2 linked regions of the Cricetulus griseus genome follow. The protein of the gene in region 1 interacts with the protein of each later gene in a pairwise test. Links are inferred from orthologs where the notes say so. Each region holds a gene or a part of one and is shown on either strand. Other genes may lie near its edges.

The links. The genes of interacting proteins can lie anywhere in the genome.
Region 2: the proteins of Sec22a (region 1) and Sftpc interact in binary tests that used the Homo sapiens proteins (3 or more experiments, as listed by UniProt). The two-hybrid records come from large-scale screens. The link is inferred for Cricetulus griseus from reciprocal best matches to the Homo sapiens genes SEC22A and SFTPC.

What each region holds. Positions count from the first base shown.
Region 1 is NC_048597.1:54,278,560-54,288,241, reverse strand, and holds the start of Sec22a (vesicle-trafficking protein SEC22a), read right to left. Parts: upstream 6,392-9,682; 5' UTR 6,277-6,391; intron 6,054-6,276; exon of another isoform or gene 5,919-6,053; intron 3,201-5,918; exon of another isoform or gene 3,124-3,200; intron 1-3,123. UniProt on the Homo sapiens protein: May be involved in vesicle transport between the ER and the Golgi complex.
Region 2 is NW_023276807.1:225,161,962-225,171,569, forward strand, and holds Sftpc (pulmonary surfactant-associated protein C), read right to left. Parts: upstream 6,361-9,608; coding exon 6,319-6,360; intron 5,327-6,318; coding exon 5,168-5,326; intron 4,848-5,167; coding exon 4,725-4,847; intron 4,495-4,724; coding exon 4,384-4,494; intron 4,076-4,383; coding exon 3,911-4,075; downstream 1-3,910. Other genes in the region: Bmp1 (bone morphogenetic protein 1), read right to left, coding at 2,441-2,609. UniProt on the Homo sapiens protein: Pulmonary surfactant associated proteins promote alveolar stability by lowering the surface tension at the air-liquid interface in the peripheral air spaces.

The sequences.
Region 1 (9,682 bases):
TGCTATGAGTTTGGCTTCCAGAACACATGAAAAATCATGACATGACTATATAATCCTATATCCTATAATCCCTAAGGACTCCTACAGGAAGATGGGAGTTGGAAACAGAAGAGTCTCCAGAAGCTCTGAGGCCATCTAGCCTGGTATATATAGCAGTGAACAAGAGACTCTGTCTCAAACAAAGTGGGAATGCAAGAACCAATATCTTAGATCAATGGTTGTCAACCTTCCTAATGCTATGACCCTTTAATACAGTTCTTCATGTGATAACCCCCAACCATAAAATTATTTTCATTGCAACCTCATAACTTCAATTTTGCTATTGTTATGAATTGTAAATATCTGTTTTCTGATGTTCTTAGGCAACCCCTGTGAAAGAGTCCTGTGATCCCCAAAGGAGTTGTGACCCACAGGTTGAGAAACACTGCCTTAGGTTATCCTTTGCCCTCTGCACATACATTGTGGTACACACATGCTTCACCCCTACCAGCCAGTGTTCATAGTGCTATAGAAGGTACTATACAAACTACTGGAGAAAAGTAATAGTCAATTTCACCCAGCTATGAGCCATGAAAGCTCTAATAATGAACTGCCTTCAGGTTATGCCCAGAGGTGCAATAGTGGCAGATGGTTATGGAAGTAACCAATTTTTTTAAATTGAATTTAAGGTCCACTCCTTGAAATGGTACCCATACCTGACAGTGTTAATGAGGGCGAGAACCAAGATTGACTAGGGGCCTAGGGGAAAACCTACTACTATTATTCTGTTAAATGGATACTGATATAAAACAATCTCTATACCCATAGAGTGCATCACTCAACCCTCATCCGAGAAGCTGTTTCTTAGAGTAGGTGGTATTAACACAGAGACTCACAACCAGGCAATGTGCAGAAAGTGAGAAGCTTTGGTACACTCAGTCCTAAATGGGATGTCTTTATCTTTATACCTGTCTCCTCAAGGCTCAGGGATCTATGTAGAAGAGGATGGGGGTGGGAGGATGTGAAAGCCAGAGATGAAGGATGACCTCAAGGAAATAACATTTTCCAGATACAACAGGGCAGATGTACATATGAAGCTCAAAGAGACTGTGACAGCATACACAAGAACTGCATAAACTCAAGACAGACAAAATCTAGCCAAGCTAATAGCAATTGATAGTTGCTGGTAGAAGGAAAATCAGTTTAGTTTTCTTCCGGGGGAGGGGGTGGGGGGCAGGGGGCACTAAGCAGAGTACCAACCACACTCCAGCCAATCCCCTTGGGGTTTTGTTGATGTTATTTTGGTTTTAGTGCTTTTTTGTTTTTTGAGAGAGAAAGAAGTCAGTGTAGTGGTACATGCCATTAATCCCAGCACTCAGGAGGCAGATCTCTGAATTTGAAGCCACCCTGGACTATAGATGGAGTTCCAGGTCAGTCGGGGTTCCACAGAGAAACATTATCTCAAAGAGAAAGACAGAGAGAGAAGAGACAGAGAACATGAAGATGGGTGGGTAATAAAATGGGGGAAGACCTAGGAAAAGTAGGGGGGCAGGGAAAGAATATAGTCAAATAAATTCTCACAGAATAAATTAAAAAATAAAATAAATTTGAGAATTAAAAAGGAAAGCATTAATAGTAATTATTGGTGATTGATTTAGAGACATTGTCTTGCTATGTAGCCCTGGCTGGCCTAGAACTCACTATGTAGCCCAGGCTGGCCTCGAACTCAGAATAAGCCTCCTGACTCAGACTCCAGAGGTGTATACCACTATGTTCAGTAGTAAATTTAAATTAACCTTACCCCAAGGAAAATAATCATAAATCCAGATAAAAATTTAGAGGTATACCCTTACAATCAAATTAAAATAATCTAAAAATCCAACATACGATGACAATTAAGTAAATAAATTATTGCCAGGCGTTGGTGATGCATGCCTTTAATCCCAGCACTCGGGAGGCAGAGGCAGAGGCAGGCGGATCTCTGTGAGTGCAAGACCAGCCTGGTCTACAAGAGCTAGTTCCAGGAAAGCCTCCAAAACCACAGAGAAATCCTGTCTCGAAAAACCAAAATAAATAAAAAAATAAATAAATAAATAAATAAATAAATTATAGTTTGTCCATATGACATAATAAAATGCAGCAACTCAAAGCTTTCTAAAAAGAAAAGGTTTAATAATGTGATAAAATCCTGATGTGATAAGTTAAAAATATTTGAAGCAGGATAAAACCTATTTTACCAGATAAAGTGACACATAACTATAATCTTATCACTTAGGAGGGCAGAAAAAGGGGGATCATGAGTTGAAGGCCAGACAAGGCTATATCCCAAAGCCCTGTCTTAAAATTTTTTAGACAAACATGTATTCAGAGATTTCTTAAAAAAAAAAAAAAAGGAAACGAAAGAAAGAAAAAGAAATATATTTTTAGTAAACAGAAGCATAACACTGCTGTCAAAGTCCTAAAAGGCTGTCAGACTGTCAGAGGGTTGTTTCTACTTATCAGTAATAAAAAAAATTTTTCTATGGAGAAAAAGTTAACTCTCACTCCCCTTACCCAGAGTAAACTAATGATTTATCATCCAAACAAATTAACGAGGAAAAGAACACCAAGAAGAACAAGAACAGCAAGAATAAGGAGTAAGAAACAAGAAAGAAAAAACAACTAGGATAAATATCCAACGGACAATGAAGTTTTAATCACCTTAGGATAAACAGTCTCTTTCAACTGATCATACCACACTTTTTAAAAGTTTTACTTGGGATTCTTAAGGGAGTATATTTAAAAAGTAAACAGAAAAAAAAAAAAAAACAGGAATGTGCCTCTATGAAAGCAGAGCTAGGCAGTGTGGTCTGAGAAAATCTAGGAAGAGAACAGAACCAAAGAAAGAAGAGGGAAGCTTTGGAAAGGACAACAGATTTTTCCTACCAGGACCAAATGCATTTTTCAGACATGGTTCCTCTTTCCTTCACTTAAAAAAGAAAACATTAGAGTTGTCTTTAGATAACAGAAACCTCACAGAAAGTCCAAGGAGTGCTCGGCATTTCCTCCCAGCAGCAATTATAGAGAGAAGAGTCCAAATTAGAATCTAGGCAGAGCTGCAAACACTAAGGAAAGTCCCCAAACATCAATTAAGGGGACACTTACCAACCTCTCAAGTTGACCCCTCTCCTTCAGAAGGCTGTCAGGCAATGATCTTGGGCTCAAAGTGTCAAGGGATATTTCTAAAAAGGTAGTGAAATTTAAATAGAAAAGTTTTCTACAGATGTTTTATGCTGGGGTCACTCATCTTTTATTTGAGTTAATCACATTCCAAGCTTTAGCACTCAAGTACCACTTTCAGGATGCTTATCTGGATCTCTCCTGTACTATTTCTTATTTACCAAATACCAGTCTCTCAACTGGCTATCCTATATTTTTAACAACAATGTCTACAAAATCAGTTTGAGACATTAGGGTTTTTTTTCCCTAAATCTAAGTTAAAATAAGTAAAATTTTGTTTTGTTTACATGCATATTAAATATTTTGGTGGCTTGCTTTTTTAAAATGATCCTCAGCTCACCAAATCATTTTACATTAATGATAGCACCAAAATTTGGAAAAACTAACTTGCTACATATTTAGTTAACTTAATAATCCTGAACTCTGTGAGAATTATAAGTGAGTGCAAAGGGTGGAGTCAGACTGATTGAACTTAGTTGACCATATTAATTGCAATGCTCAGACTGGAAGATTGAATGAAAAGAAAGGAGTACCAAGGACTATCAGAATTTATTGTGATGTTTTGCCAGTACTGTCTTCCTCATTAGCTGTCCTTACTGCTTGCTTCTATTGTGGGCACCTGCACTAAACACTATGTGTAAAACCTCAAGCTCCACAACAGAATATACACACTATTAGAGACAGGGGTCCTAACATATGTGCAGATGTCAGTGCCATACAGTTCAGAGAGGTAAGTATAACTTCCATTTCATAGATAAGAAAACTGACATTTGCTCAACTTCACCTCTAATATACGGCAGGACTGATACTTAAGCCTAAGTGCCTCACAAATCTCCATCGCTGTGCTGTAACCAGGAAAGCAGCAAGCAGCAAAAAAAAAAAAAAAAAAAAAAAAAAAAAAAAAAAAAAAAAGAAAGAAAGAAAAAAAAAGTCCTATGTTTTAAATGTTTTTCAATTTAGACAAAGCTTCACAAAGCCCCAGCCTGGTTTGAACTCACTATGTAGCCAAAGGCTTGCCTTGAACTCCTGATCCTCCTGTCTCCACCTCCCAAGTGCTAGGATTACAGGCTTGCATCATAAGACCTGGATCAGCTGATCATTTTAAAATAACAATAAATAGGGACATTTTCTTTGAAAGGCAACACAGTATGGTGATTAAAAAGTCAAGTTCAGGCTGGGGAGATTCCTCAGTGGCAAAACATGATTACTATGCAATCATGAGGACTAGTGTCCAGATCCTTAGAACTAAGTGAAGACTAGGCAAGCTAGGTTATCCAAAAGAGGTGGGATCTTCCAGGCAGGTCAGCTAGCTGGACTGACTGAAATTGGCAAGCTCCAGGTTAAAACAACAACAACAACAACAACAAAACAAACAAACAAAAAACATCCTGCCTCAATTAAGTAGAGGGCAATCAGAGAAGACACTGGACATCAACACCCAACCTTCATATACACCTGCACACAACATTGTGCCAACACACATTTGAATATACATACAGGCATACACATGCACACACAGGATGTGCAAAATAAATAAATTAAATACAAAGAAGTCATATTCCCAGATTTAAAGCCAGGCTCTACCACATACCTGTCACATTACCTTGACAAGCTTTGCTTTCCAAACCTCAATATCTTCACCTCGGAACTATGGCTATGAGTAAACCCTATCTCCATGAGGCTCTTTTTAAGATCACTACCAGCCTCTACGTCTTACGCTTATGAAAAGCACCTGGCACAACCTCCGAAGTTCTATTTTAAGTGTTCTGCTGTCCTTACTACTGACAGGTACAGACCAAGCACTTCATTCGCCTCATTTGAGCCTTCCAGGAACCTCTGAGGTTAGGTATTAGTTTCATTTTGCTTTGGAGGAAACACAAGTCCCAAAAGCTTAAGGCATTTGTTCAACTCACGGATGAGTAAGTAGGAGGTCTGATTCTAACAACTTCATGAAACATTACCTCTAAACACACCCTAACTTCTTATCGACACGGAAAGAAAGGTCACAAGTATCTCTCTGACACGAGTTTGTTTTTTTTTTTTCATACATCAACCTAAAACATACTTAAACTTTAAGCAGTCTCTAAAAATAAAGTTACTAAACTGGCATGATCGTCTTAAGTGGGAAAAGCCTGACGTCTCAATCACTTTGGACATGGTCACGGGTGTCAGGTTCAGTTCTGAATCTTCCTCTACACACGGTAAGTTCTAAGTAATGTTTAAGATACCGCCTAACTGCTCACAGCGCTGGCACACCAGTGGGTACCAGTAACCCGAAATTGATTCCATTTTTTAAAATGTTTGCTCTGTTCATCCGCTGGAATTCTATCACGTGTAGCACGGCCCACCGACACTGGACTCTGCTCAAAATTAAGCACAGCAGGGGCTGGTTCTGAAGAGTTCTACCTGCTCCAGGTGATGCTGATCCCGGAAGCTAAGCAGCAGGCAATCAAGTCCTAAGCTGCTTTTACTGAGAGAGATTCGCGCAAGCTACAGCTTGGCCCCCTCCGGAGATCCCCCACTTGTGGAGCCAATAACTCAGGTCTTTTTTTTTCTGCCACACAGTGTCGCAAAGTACCATCAGACAGGGCCTCGAGGGGTTTCCCTGAGCCAACGTGGGCGATCTCCAACCTCAGCGCCCATTCGGACTCCACAAATCGCAGGGTACGCCACTGGTACAAGCTGCCCCGCCCCAAAAAAGAACTAGGAATGCCAGCCACCTCAAGCTCTCTCGGGCCACCTACAAGCCCGGGTGAATCCGTGTGCTTCTGACATCTATGGCAGTGAGTCCGCTCGCTGGCAGCCCGGGGCGCCAGCACTCCCCGTCAGCCGCCCCGACTGCGTCCGCCCATCCCGGGACAGGCCTGCCAGACAGCAACCGCCGCCCGCGCGGCTGACAGCCCCGGGTCTCAGGGACCCGGGACCCGCACACCAGCCCTCTAACTCCGCCGCCACCGCCGCTCAGCTCCGGCTCGGGAAGTACCGGTCAGGCCAGGGTGGAACGCCGAGAGCGGCGCGAGCGGCCGGCCAGGGATCCCGGAGACCCCGAGGAGGCTGAAAAGAGGGGCCGGGCCGTACCTGTCGCGCTGGGACTCGCCGCTCCGAGTGACGCGCCACGCAGTGCATTGTGGGGCCGGGAGGGGCCTCCCAGCGGGGTTGCCCGTGTCCAACGTGGCTGGTGAGGGCGGAGTTCACTCGGGCCAATCAGGTTCCGTGGGAAGCACCCAATGGCACGCCCCCTTCCGAGGCCCGCCCTATCTCCGCCCCCTCCAGCGGAGATTGGCAGGTTCTTATGCACCTGCACCAGGAGAATGCCTAGTCTCCTGAGGACAAAATTAGGCTGTCCCTGGGAAATAAGGCTAGTCTCCTTCACCTGCTGCTTCGTGTCTGGAAGCAGTTTCTCTCATGCGCCACTTGGGACAGAGGAAAAGCTCTCTCTGATGAACAGGATAAGGACCTTTCCCCGTCAGCCACTACACAAACTTTCCAAGACAGACAAATGACACATGCTGGCCCCAGTAGCCCCACCCCTACTCCCGCCCAGCCTTCTAGAGGTCATGTATTATTAAACAAACGTATACTGAATGCCTATCAAGTGTCAAGCAGCATGTTAAGCATGTTATACAGGAATGTTCACAGCACTCCTTTTAAGGTGTAATCGGAGCAAGAGGCACTAGAAAAACTGGTACAGAAATATACTATGTGATTGGTACAGAGAAGAAAACTTAATAGGTGTACTGATGAATTAATTGAGTGTCAGGAAAGAACTCCCTGAATAAGTGCCTTTAAAGTCAAGACATATTAAGGGATCTTTAAGAATGTTCTGGGTCTGCTTCTATTTCCACCAACTGCTGGATGAAGGCTATATGCTGGCATATGAATTAGTCATCAATCTCATTATCAGGAGAGGGCATTTAAGGTAGCCTCCCCTCTGTTGCTTAGATTGTTAGCTGGTGTCATCTTTGTAGCCCTCCAGACATTTCCCTAGTGCCTGATTTCTCTTTGAATTTATAATATCTCCTTCTATTATATTATCTCTTATCTTGTTCTCTTCTGTTCTTCCCACAGCTAAACCTTGGACTGAACTGATCCAGAAGCAGAGAAGAAGGACTGATGAGCAAAGGGGTCCATACCAGGCTGGTGAAACCCACAGAAACAACTGGCCTGAACAAGGGAAAACTCTTGGTCCCCAGACTGATAGCTGGGAAACCAGCATGGGACTGATCCAGACCCCCTGAACGTGGGTGTCAGTGAGGAGACCTTGGGACCTCTTGTAGTGGATCAGTACTTATGGCTACCATAGGAATGAACTTTAGGAGCCCATCCCACATGGGGGGATACTCCCTGATCCTAGACACAAGGGGGTTGGCCTAGGCCCTATCCCAAAGAATATGACAGACTTTGAAGACCCCTATGGAAGGCCTCACCCTCCCTGGTGAGCAGAAAGGCTATGGGATAGGTAGGGCATTAGTGGGGGGGGGAGGGGAGGAGGGGAGAGAGAGGGAACTGGGATTGACATGTAAAATAATTTTTTTCTAATAAAAAAAGGAAAAAAGAAAAATAATATAAAAAAAAAGAATGTTCTGGGTCCAGGAACATGATTTGTGAAAATTTGGATTGTCCTAGGAAGGTGGGCTGGTTTGTCTGTCAGCTTGATACAAAGCTTAACATTGATGGGAGAGGGAATCTTAATTTAGAAAATGCCTCTGAAAAAAAAAAAAAAAGCCTGGGGGCAAGTCTGTGGGATGGTACTGTGATTGGTGATTGCTATAGGAGGGCCCAGCCCACTGAGGGCAGTGCTACACCAGAGCCAGTAGTTCTAGGTTGTAGGAGAAAACAGGCTGAGCAAGCCTTAGAGAGCAAGCCCATAGGCAGCACTCCTCCATGGCTTCTACTTCAGTTCCTTCCTCCAGATGCCTGGCTTGAGTTCCTGCCCTTACTTCCTTTCACTCCCAAGTTGTTTTTGGTCACCATGTTTAATCTCAGCTATTAATAATTAATAATTAATAATCTCAGCTATTAATTAATCCTCAGGGATTATGTAGGAACAAGAAGTTTAGGCTGAGATGAGACAAGGGCTAAACTCTCTTGGACTACTTTATACAGTTCATACGGTAATCAGCAACATACTCTAAGATCAATGAGGAGCTAATAAAGACTGTTAAGTGGGATCTGATTTACATATTTTAAAGCTCACTCTGCTTATGGAGAATAGATTGTTGGAGGGCAAGAAGGATTACTGATGGGTCACTTTGGAGGCAGTTGTATTGGTCAAGACCACAAATGTGTTGCTTGAACTCGAATAATGGCAGTAGAGGTAGAAAGAGATGGATAATTTCAAGATATAAATAAATCGTAGAAGGAATTCATGGGACTTAATGGACAGATTTTCTGGAGCAAGTAAAAAAAAAAGAGGACTACTAAAGATGGCTTCCTAGGTAACTAGATGGATTAAGAAGCCATTTAGATTCACAAAGAGTAGCAAATGTGTGAGGCTATGCTAAATTTGAGAGACCTATAAATGGGAATGTCAAGCAGTTTTGGATAAGTATGCCTAGAGCTCAGAGGGAAGATCTGAACTAATTATACATTTGCCAGTTCTTAGTATGAATTAACATAGAATTCCACTCTGAGATATACTTTCAACAGAAACGTATTCATATATATAAAGCTGTCTTTAGAGTAAATAGGTGATACAGACTATTCACATAGTTTAAGGAAAAAGAGCAAACAATTCACAGATATATACAACTCCCAAGAGTGAACTAACCAGACACAAAAGCACATGTTACATGACTCCACTTGTATAATATTTAAAAATCAAAGGCAGGATGTTGGTTAGCCTTGGGTATTATTAATATTTGAAATAGAAAATTGGTGTTTTTCTTTATCTAGACACTGGTTATTCATTGCAACCTATTAACAACACTTCCTTAAGCTGTATGCTTATGATTTATGTAAATTTTTGTATATAAAGTTTATATCTTTAAAGTGTTAAGAGTAACTCAGACACTCATGTGCCACTATTATCAGACAAAATCTCAAAGCATGATCAAAAGAAAACAAGACCATGTCTGAGAAACAAGTGCCTGCAGGCATTTTCCAATTCCAGCATAGTCACATTGTGTTCATAGAAAGAAGCCAACAGGCTGATCCTCCAGATTTCCCCAGATTGCTTTCTGGGGTTAATTATGGAAGCACAGGCTAGAAGCACAGTTACAGCCTCAAGGTAAGGCGGGATGGAAACTAGATTAAAAGAGCTTTAATTTGAAAGCAGAATGCCAGAGAAAGAGCACCAGAAGTGTACATGAAGGTTCCCTTGGACCTATGTGTGGGCTTAAAGAGCAACTCTGGGACTGGCAAATAGCAGCTACTAGAAAGTTTAAACTGAAACAACTACGAGAGTTTCAAAGGAGTTCGGAAATGTTCAAGTTCTGACTAATTAGGCCAGGAAAAAACTCATTAGAAACCTAGAGCATATGGT
Region 2 (9,608 bases), on another chromosome or scaffold:
GAGCTAGTGGAGGAGGAGGAAGGAGATGTCTACCAGCCACTTCCAAAGGAAGCAGAGACAGGCACCTGCCACGGGCACCCCTAGCAGCTGGTGGTCAGGGCTATGGATGGGCCAAGAGGCAAAGTCAGGCAGGAAAGAGCAACACAAAGAAGAGAGTTGGTGGTCTGTAGAAGGGACAGCAGGCGAGGTTCAGCCGAGGTGTATGTGTGTGTCCACCAGTCCAGCTCCCTCCAGGGGTGTGCCATGGGGCCTGGGCATCAGTCACACCCAAGAAGAAGGCCTGATCTGACCCTGAAGCTTGGCCTTGTCAGGCTTTAGGCCCTCTCAGCCACCTCAGGCCTGGCTGAGCTCCCCACCAGCCTCGCTTCACCCTGGTGGAGAGAGCTTCCTCCACAGCCCTTGTTTGAAGCTCCAACTCAGCCAGCCCCACCCTAGCATGAAATCTGAGACAGGGGATGGAGCCCTGAGCCTCTTGCCATTCCCAAAAATCACTCCCACTTTCAACATCAGCATGGCTTCGGCCTCATTCTTGGGGGCTAGGCTCCTGTCCCACACCCTCCAGAAAGCCTCCACTTGGCAAACCATCCCAGATCCCTGTCATCACTTTGCTCTGCCCCCCCCATCACCAGGAATGAAGAGATAACGAGGGACCCTACTCCTTCCTGGCTTATGCTGTGTAACTTTAGTGGGCTCTTGGGTCCTTGCTTAGATGGCGATCTCCTTAAGGACAGAGATCTGCCTGGCACCTCTCTGCACCTCCCACATCAAACCCAGGCCAGAGACATATCAGGGAATGTGCATTACTGAATGGATAAAGACACAGAAGAGGGCCAGGGAGATGTTAGCTCTTCCTAAAATCCAACTCTATACTCTCTCAAAAGAAATGAGTCAAGAGCCAGGGACACAGAGCACAATGGGTAAATGTTTATTTAGTGTTTATTGTATGCTAATAATAAATGATTTATAAGTGCTCTCAGATGTAGACCTTACTCCAGCTCTATGGAGGGATGTATCGTCATTCCTGCTTTACTAATAAGAAAACGGAAGTTCGGAGACTATGCTTAGCTTTCCTGGTGGCTAATGAGTCCTTCAGAGTCCATGCCCTGCTCAATCTTCTTCCTGCCAATCCACTACATACAATGAGATGGAGACAGCTAATGTTCTGGTTTGCTCACAGCCCATCAGGCATGGAGAAGGAAGGAGTGCGGGGTTTGGCTTGTCCTGCCCACACTAAAATGGTCCCTATCCACCCAAGGGCAGATGAAGCAAGGAGAGTAGATGGATCAAACTCCCTGTGGTTAGAACTATAGCTGCCTGTCCCAAGACTCCATGCCCACTTCCTTTCCTTGTGTCCCTGTCCCTGGCTCTAGCTCTTCACAGACAGACTGAAGTCAGAAGCAGGAAGTTGAGGAAAAGTTGTGACATCTTGTTCCTGGTGTATTCCAGGTAGCCTGCTCAGGGACATCACTTACGCCAACAGCCTGAGTGCCTGGTCATCTGGTCACTCCAGGGAGATCACAGCAGGAGGGTCCTCATGGACAAAGATCGTGATCACACACACACACACACACAGAGAGAGAGAGAGAGAGAGAGAGAGAGAGAGAGAGAGAGAGAGAGGAAGCCCTGACCTTGACTAATTAACCTCAGGTGTCTGTGGGGTGAGAGACCTGAGGTAGACTATCCAAGTTCTCTTTGTGTGGCTCATTTGCTATCCCAATTTGGCTCTGGCAGAGCTCTCCTAGCACTCAGGGGCACAGGTAAGTTCTCTCCCAGCCCGATTTCTCTGACTCTGACAGCTGTCTTTTGGGTGCCAGGAGAGCTGCTGCATCTGGTTGGAGTCACAGGATTGTCCACGAAGGAGTATCTCATGGAACCCCCTGAAAAAAACTTTCTCCTTCCACTGGGCTGAGTATCCGGGAAATCTATTCCTTTGGAGCTGCAGGCCTTCTGGGCATCAAACCAGACAGATGTGTAGCACTATGGCAAACAGACAAGCGGGCAAACACCAATAACCCATAAAGCAGAGGGTTAGGAGAGAAGGGAAAAGTACACACACACACTCACACACACGCTCACTCACACACGGAGTTTGGCCAGTAAAGTTTCCCTGTGGAGAAAAAGCCTCCTTGCCAGCGGGATTCGCTAAGACCCAGGGAGATTTCCCCAGGAATCCTCTTCGAAGGCAAGCGGCAAGCGGCAGCCGCAGCAGTTTCCACAAACAGCAGCAAAACTTCAGTCCTAAAAGTCCCCCAAACTTCCCCCTCCCTTTCTCCCTCGGTCTTTTGTTCCCCCACTGCATTGCCAACCAAGCAGCTCCCAGCTTCCCACACTGGACTGTCCTCCCCCAACCCCAACCCCAACCCCTGCCCGGCTCGCAACCTCGATCCCGGCCTGCTCACGCCCGGCTCCCGTGCGCCCCTGGAAGCCGGGGGTCGCTCACCCGCCTTGCAGGGGTCTTTGTAGTTGAGGAGCTCCGGGGCGTCCTCCTCGCCCAGGTCGTAGGTGTAGTCGGCCAAGTCCAGCGGCCGCCCGGCGCGCGGGAGCAGCAGCAGCAGCAGTAGCAGCGGCAGCGACAGCAGCGGCAGCGGCGGGCGGGCCACGCCGGGCATGCTGGCGGGCAGCGGTGGCGGTCGCGCCCGGACGCGGGAGCGGGGCGACGGGGAAGGGAGCGCTGGAGGCGAAGGGGAGGTGCTCTCCCCCCGCGGCCACCTCTTCCCGTCCCGTTTCCTGTCTCCCGCCCCCCGCTCGGCCCGGCTCGCTCCGGCCCTGGGCTCCGGCGTCCCCTCGCCCTCGGCTCGGTCTCTCCCTTTCTTTTTTTTTTCCGCCGTCCTCCCACTCCCCCCCCCCCCTTTTAGGGAAATGAGCTCGCTGGAGGGCGGGTTTTCGCCCAGCTCGGCCCCCCTCGGGGCCGGGACCGTGCTCGGCCGGGCCGGGAAGCGCGCCAGCCGGGCGGGGAGGGCGAGAGTAGCGCCGCCCGCCCCGGAGGGGGATCGGCTGCCTGGGGCCGGGGCCGGGGAGGGGGCGCGGGCCCGGGATGCCCGGAGGCACCGCTCCCGCGAGGGGCCCCCTAGTGGCCGCTGTCCCGCACGGGGCGGAGTACCTCCCCGCACGGGACACGCTGTCAGGTCCGTTCCTGCCTCTCAATCCCTGGATCAGCGGTCTTTCTCTCAGCCTGAGACACCAGTCTGTCTGAGACCTGCTCTCTTGCTTCTCGCTGTCTCTGTCTCACTGTCTCTCTGCCTGTCTCTGTCGCTGTCCTTCCCTGTGGACACACCGCTGGAGGGCGCCTAACACCCGTGTATGGCACCTAGGTCCCGTCCCCTATCCCCGCCTTTTGCCCCCTTCCCCACTACCTGGGGTAGAACCAAATCCCCATCACTCTTAGACAGAAAGGATGTGGCAAAGCGTCCCAACTCCCCCAAACCCTCTCCTTCCAAGGACGGCTCCCGCCAGGAGCGAAACTGAAAATGTGGAAGAAAAGACATGCCACCCTTTGTTTTTCAATCAGGCTGCTTTATTGCTTTGTGGTAGGAGACCCCCTGGCCTGTAGGAGACCCCTCTCCTCTACTGGCTTCTACTCTGTCGGGTCGAGCAAGAACAGGAGCAGCTTCCTGCTTGTCTGCAAGAGACCCTTCTCTGCGTGCGGGTCTTTCCTGTCCCCATGCGGTTACCACCGACCCTGTGAAGCAAAGAACTGATGTTTATCACGTGAAGGGCGGGGGGGGGGGGAACCTAGGGAGCCACTCGCTTGATTCCAATGTGGGCTGTCTGTGAGCCTGCCATCCTCTGCCGTCCCCAGACCACTGACTTCAGGAGAACCCTAGTAGGTTTGCTGACAAAGCCCGAAGCCCAAGCCTTCCCAACGTTGTGCAGGCACCATCAAAGGTACCCTTGCTCACCTGAGGGGGTCCTAGATATAGTACAGTGGTAGCTCTCCACACAAGGTGCTCACAGCAAGGCCTAGGAATGCCAGGTCTCTCCCGGAAGACTCAGAACCAATGCCATGCCCTTCCTCCTGACCCAGCTTAGGGGTGGACGCCGAGGGCTTGGCCTGGAAAGAACACATATGTTCAATCTCACCTGCAGTCCTTATTGTGGGACACTAGGCTAGCCAGGCAAATTCTCGAGGCTCAGTTTCCTCACCGATACAGAGGGACTAGGCTGAAATCAGAAGCACACAGGTGGTGTCTGAGCTCAGCCAAGCCAACAACTTAGCAGCAGGCCAGCTGACAGCTGGGATAGGTGTAACACAGGTGAGTGCAGAGAGAACACATCTGGCCCAGGAGAATCAATACCATGCAGATGGCACTAGCCATCATTTCAAATATTCCTCTCCCCAACCCTTGGAGGGAGACAGCTCACTCCCTTTACTCACACACCCACCTTGAAGTTCTGGAATTTTCTAGTAAAAGCCTCAAGACTGGGGATGCTCCCTGGATCCATCTTCATGATGTAGCAGTAGGTACCCGGGGCTGGCTTATAGGCAGTCAGGAGCTAGGCATGTAACACGGGAGGTCATTCAGGAAGGTCCCTTGCCTTGCTCACTCCCCAACCCTGATTCTCAGCCAACTCCCTTTAGATTGGCCATGGGAGACACATCTGAGTCCGAGACTCCAGCATCCGAGGGGAAGCAGCCAGGCACAGAATGGAGAGAGACCTCTGGAAAGAGGTGGTACAACTAGACAGTTCCAGTAAAGTCATATTGGTCCCTCAGGCATACTCACTCGCTGGTAGTCATACACAACAATGCCAGTGGAACCAACGGAGAAGGTAGCAATGGTGTCCATGTGCTCACTCAGGGCTAGGCGTTTCTGAGTTTCCGGTGCTCCGATGCTCATTTCAAGGACCTAGGGAGAGGCTGTCAGAGTGCTGCCTGGCATTCCTCTTTCTTTTCTCAGCCCTTTGGTACCCATATCTACCCAGAGCCCTCTGTTGGAACGCAATTCCCTCTTTCCTGAGATCTCAGGAAGGCTAAAGATCACTGGTGTTGGAGGGACTGGTGGTTATCACACTGTAGGCCAGGGCCTGGGGAAAAACCATCTATGCTGGTCTGCTACCCCATCTCTGCTTGTATCACTCAAGATACGCTCTTGTTTGCCCACCCCAGCAAACTTCCTCTGTCTGACATTCATCGCTGCTACTCTTTGCTCAACCCAGGCCTGCTCACCATCTCAGTATGTTTTTGACTCATGTGAAGGCCCATGAGCAGGGCCCCTACAATCACCACGACAACAAGGACCACCACCACAACCACGATGAGAAGGCGTTTGAGATGCACGGGGCAGCAGGGGATGCGGAACTGGCTCCTGGGACCTGCTGAGTAGTCCTGAAGAAGCGGGGGGGGGGGGGGGGGGAGCAGAGAGACAAGCAGGCAGTTGAGAGGATGCCCATTCCTCTCCCTGAACCAACCAGATGCACGCTCATACCCCGTTAGGCTATGAATATGCAGAGGAGCGCTGGGGAGACCAGAGGCTTTTGGGAAGGTGGTCGGATTCAAACAAACCCACAGAAACTTAGGAAGTTAGAGGCAAAATCTAGGTTTGGAAGGATCCAAGAGAGCCAGTTAGTAATCGTATGTTCTGTTTTCCCAAGACTCTTGGCACCTCAGACATAGCCAGCATTTTTGTGCCCTTCCCCCTCCCCAAGGATCCAGGTAGCACCATCTCCATATCTTTATGTAGAGTCCCTTTCTTCCTTGTATGCCTTCCTCCTTTGCCTTGTGGGTGCCTGCATATTCTTCCTAGGCAATTTCATGTGTCATCTTCACGCCTATCTGAGGAGCCATCCTTCTCCTTTTTTTTTTTTTTTTTTTTTTTTTTTTTTTTTTTTTTTTTGAGACCCAGGCTGCCTTCCACCTCCTTACATATCTAAAGATAACCCTGAATGATTGTCTTGCTTACACTTCCAAATGGTGTGGACCCCATGCCTGACTTATGGGGTCCTGGGGACTGAACCCAAGGGCCTTTGATTGCAGTGCACTCTTCCCACTGAACTCCATCCCAGCCTCACATGCCATTTTCTCTGTGACCTCCTAATTACTTGGTGACTCTAGCAGTGTTTTTCACAGGCCTTTCTATTGACCCCTACGGTGGTTCTCAACCCCTTTATACAGAAATTCATGGCTGCCATGCCTGCCTCTTCCAGGGACTCTTAATGATCATGGTGTCTCCATCCTAACAGCCTAATCCTAAACTAATTGAAGAAAAAAATCCTATGGAGAATGGAGCAGGCAAGTCCAGTACACTTATGTAAATACACACACACACACACACACACACACACACACACACACACACACACACACAAAACCACACTCACCGGTGGACTCTCCATCAAGACCTCTTTGCTACCCACATCCATTTTGTAGGCTTTCTTCTCTTCTCATCTCTCTAGTGTGGCCAGTGTCCTATATATATCATCAGAGAGAGAGGGGACAGAGGTGAAGGACCAGGTCTTCTGTCTGCCAGCCAAGTCCTTGGCTTTGAAGCTTGTTTATTCCAGGTTTTTCACAGCCTAGGCCCTGATAAGCCAGCTGCAAGAGCCCCCAAGGGCTCTTGGCCTAGGCACATGAATCCTCTTGGCCCCAACAAGAGCAAACCTGGGTGAGGTGAGCAAACTCACCCTCAGGCCACCTGCTCCTCTCACCGTGGGTGTCTTTCTGGCATGTCTGCCTCTCTTGCTGGCACCTGCCCCTGCAGCCCTGTGGCTTCTCTTCGTTTGACAGGCCAAACCTTTCCTGTGGTAGCCAAGAATCTGGCCATCCCTTTCTACCAGATAACCTCCCCCAGGCTCAGACATGAGTTCCATCAGGGACTAAGAAAGTGGTGATTATTGATGGGGGTGGAGAGGTGTCTACTGGAGGAACAGGGCTTGGAACAAAACTGGGGATCCATTAGTGTGGTTTCTGAGACAGGGTCGGTTCCTCTTTATCCTGCTTCCCACACCTGCTGTCTCTAACCTCGGATTTGCTCCAGTCATTTTTCTTACTCTGGAAACCCTTTCCTCACAGCTGCAAACCTCTTACTGGGGGATAAGTCCTGTTTCACTCCTTGCCCCGGGCCTGTCTGTAAGTTGAATGCTCTGACGACTATTCCAGGCCTTAGTTTTTGCCTTCCAGTGCTGAGGATCAAACTTAAGGTCATGAGCATGCTTGGGAAGCCGTTTTCCACTGAGCTACATCCCCAGACATTTTCTCAAGCCAAGATGACCTTGCACAGGGCTGAGTGTGGTCCCAATCAGCCACCTCTGCCCTTCGACCATTCTATCTACCCTTCTGACCTCCTGTTTATATCGTCTAAATTTGCCCAATGTGATTTAACCAAATCCCATTCACTTTCATGACTTCCTCCTTCTCCTCTCTCCCTCCCTTCTCTCTTTCCCCAAATTCTCTCCTGTTGCTTGGGGTACTAAGTCAGTCACATCTACCAGTGACTTCGGATTGGTTGCACCCTTTCAACTTGGCCTTGGCTACATGCCTTCAATTCCCTTTTAAAGATTTATTTATTTTTATTTTATGGGTATGGGTGTTTTGCCTGTGCACCACCTGCATGCCTGGTACTCTTGGAGGCCAGAAAAGGACATGGGACCCACAGGGGCTGGAGTCACAGAGAGTTGTGAGCTTCCATGTGGGTACTAGGTATCAAACTTGGATGCTGTGAAAGAGTAGCCAATGCTTGTAACCACTGAACCTTCTCTCTAGCCCATCCGGTTCCCTTTCAGTTGCTGGCCAGGTGGACTTGAAACATCTTTGCACCTCTCAACTTTTATGAATGTGTAAGCTGGAGCCTAGTACTTCCTTGTATTGACCTGGCACCCTTGTTCTCCTACAAAGCTGCCCCTTAATATCTCCAGATTGTTTTTAGGACTCCTCATGGACACGCCAAATCCACAGGCATGCAAGTCCCTTATACAAATTAGACTATAGAAGTTACATACAACAACCAGGCAGTGGAGGCGCACACTTTAATCCCAGCATTTGGGAGGCAGAAGGATCTCTGTGAGTTTGAGTCAACCTGGTCTACAAAGCTACACAAAGAAATCCTGTCTCAAAAAAGCAGAAAAAAAAAAAAAACAAGAAGAAGAAGAAGAAGAAGAAGAAGAAGAAGAAGAAGAAGAAGAAGAAGAAGTTACATACATATGCATATTCTCACATACTCTTTAAAAACTGCCTTTGAGTAGCCAACAGCTCTCTACTTGCAGACCCCATCAGCAAGACAGAATCCATGCCTAGTACTGGAAACCTAGCTAACTACTCAGTGCTAGTGAAGTCATAATTATTGGAGGAGAATCTACAACCGCTAACTTACCAAACCAGCATAATCCCAATAACACTCTATAAACATTGTCCTTACACCGAAGATAAGTGTAGTCCTCACCCCTCATCAAGGAAACTTCTCTTTACAACAGATAGAGACTGCTACAGAAAACCACAACCAATCAGAATGCAGAGTCGTGGAGCCTGATCCCCACGGATACATCTACAAAAACACGTCACACATAATGCTCAAGGACATTGCAGAAGAAGAGACAGAAGGCTTGTAAGGACCAGAGAATCACGATCAGGGAATTTGCTGTGAGACTTTGTTTCCTAGAAACATCAGATGCTACACACATAGTCTCACCAGCATCACCACCCAAACGTGAATTGAACAAGGATTACACCAACAAATGTACCAAACTAGATGGGAAAAGCCCACAAGACCTCTGTCCTACGCAAAGAACTACAGGCAACTGAGGAAAGCTGGGGCAGGGGGGGTTCATAGAGATGGCCTTCCCCAGGGAAGAGCACACCAGTTTGTTTTCCAGTGCCAAATGGTCAGCCTTGGAAACATCCATATACAGTATCAAAACTAAAAATATGGAAAATGTTTAAATCTTTCCAAAGAAATTGTTTTTTAGGGGCTTGAGAGATAGCTCAGTGGACAAGAACACTGGATGTTCTCCCTGAGGACCTGGGTTCAATTCCCAGCACCCACATGACAGCTCATAACTGTCTGTAACTCCCATTCCAGAGGATCTGACACCCTAACACAGACATGCAGGCAAAACACCAAGGCACATAAAATAATAATAATAATAATGATAAAGATTAAATCTTTTAAAAAAGAAATTGTCTTTGAGATTTATGTTTTGCTTGCATACTTATCTGTTCACCATGTACATGCAGTGCCTTGGAAGCCATAAGAATGAGTCAGATTCCCTGGTCATGGAGTCACAGACAGTTGTAAACTGCCTGACTTGGGTGTGGGGAACTGAACTCTGACCCTCTGCAAGAGCCATCTCTCCAGTCCCTTGTTATTTTGAGACAGCCTTATTTTCTACCCAAGTGGGCCTGGAACTGGTGGCCATCCTCTTGGCTTAGCTTCCTGAGTGCAAGATTTCAGGTATGTGCCACCATGCTCAGTCCCATCTACTGTTGAATTAGTGAAGGCCAAACCTAGAGATGTAGACAGCCAGCTGTACTGGACTTTGAAATATCATTCCTTCCTAGCCTATGCCCCAGGCTCCTTAGCGCCTTGCCCTTGCCTTTGATCATGAGCAGGCCCCTTTCTCTCCAGCCCTGGCAACTGCCCCTGCCCCCCAAGGATCCCTCCCCAGCTGCAGGGCCT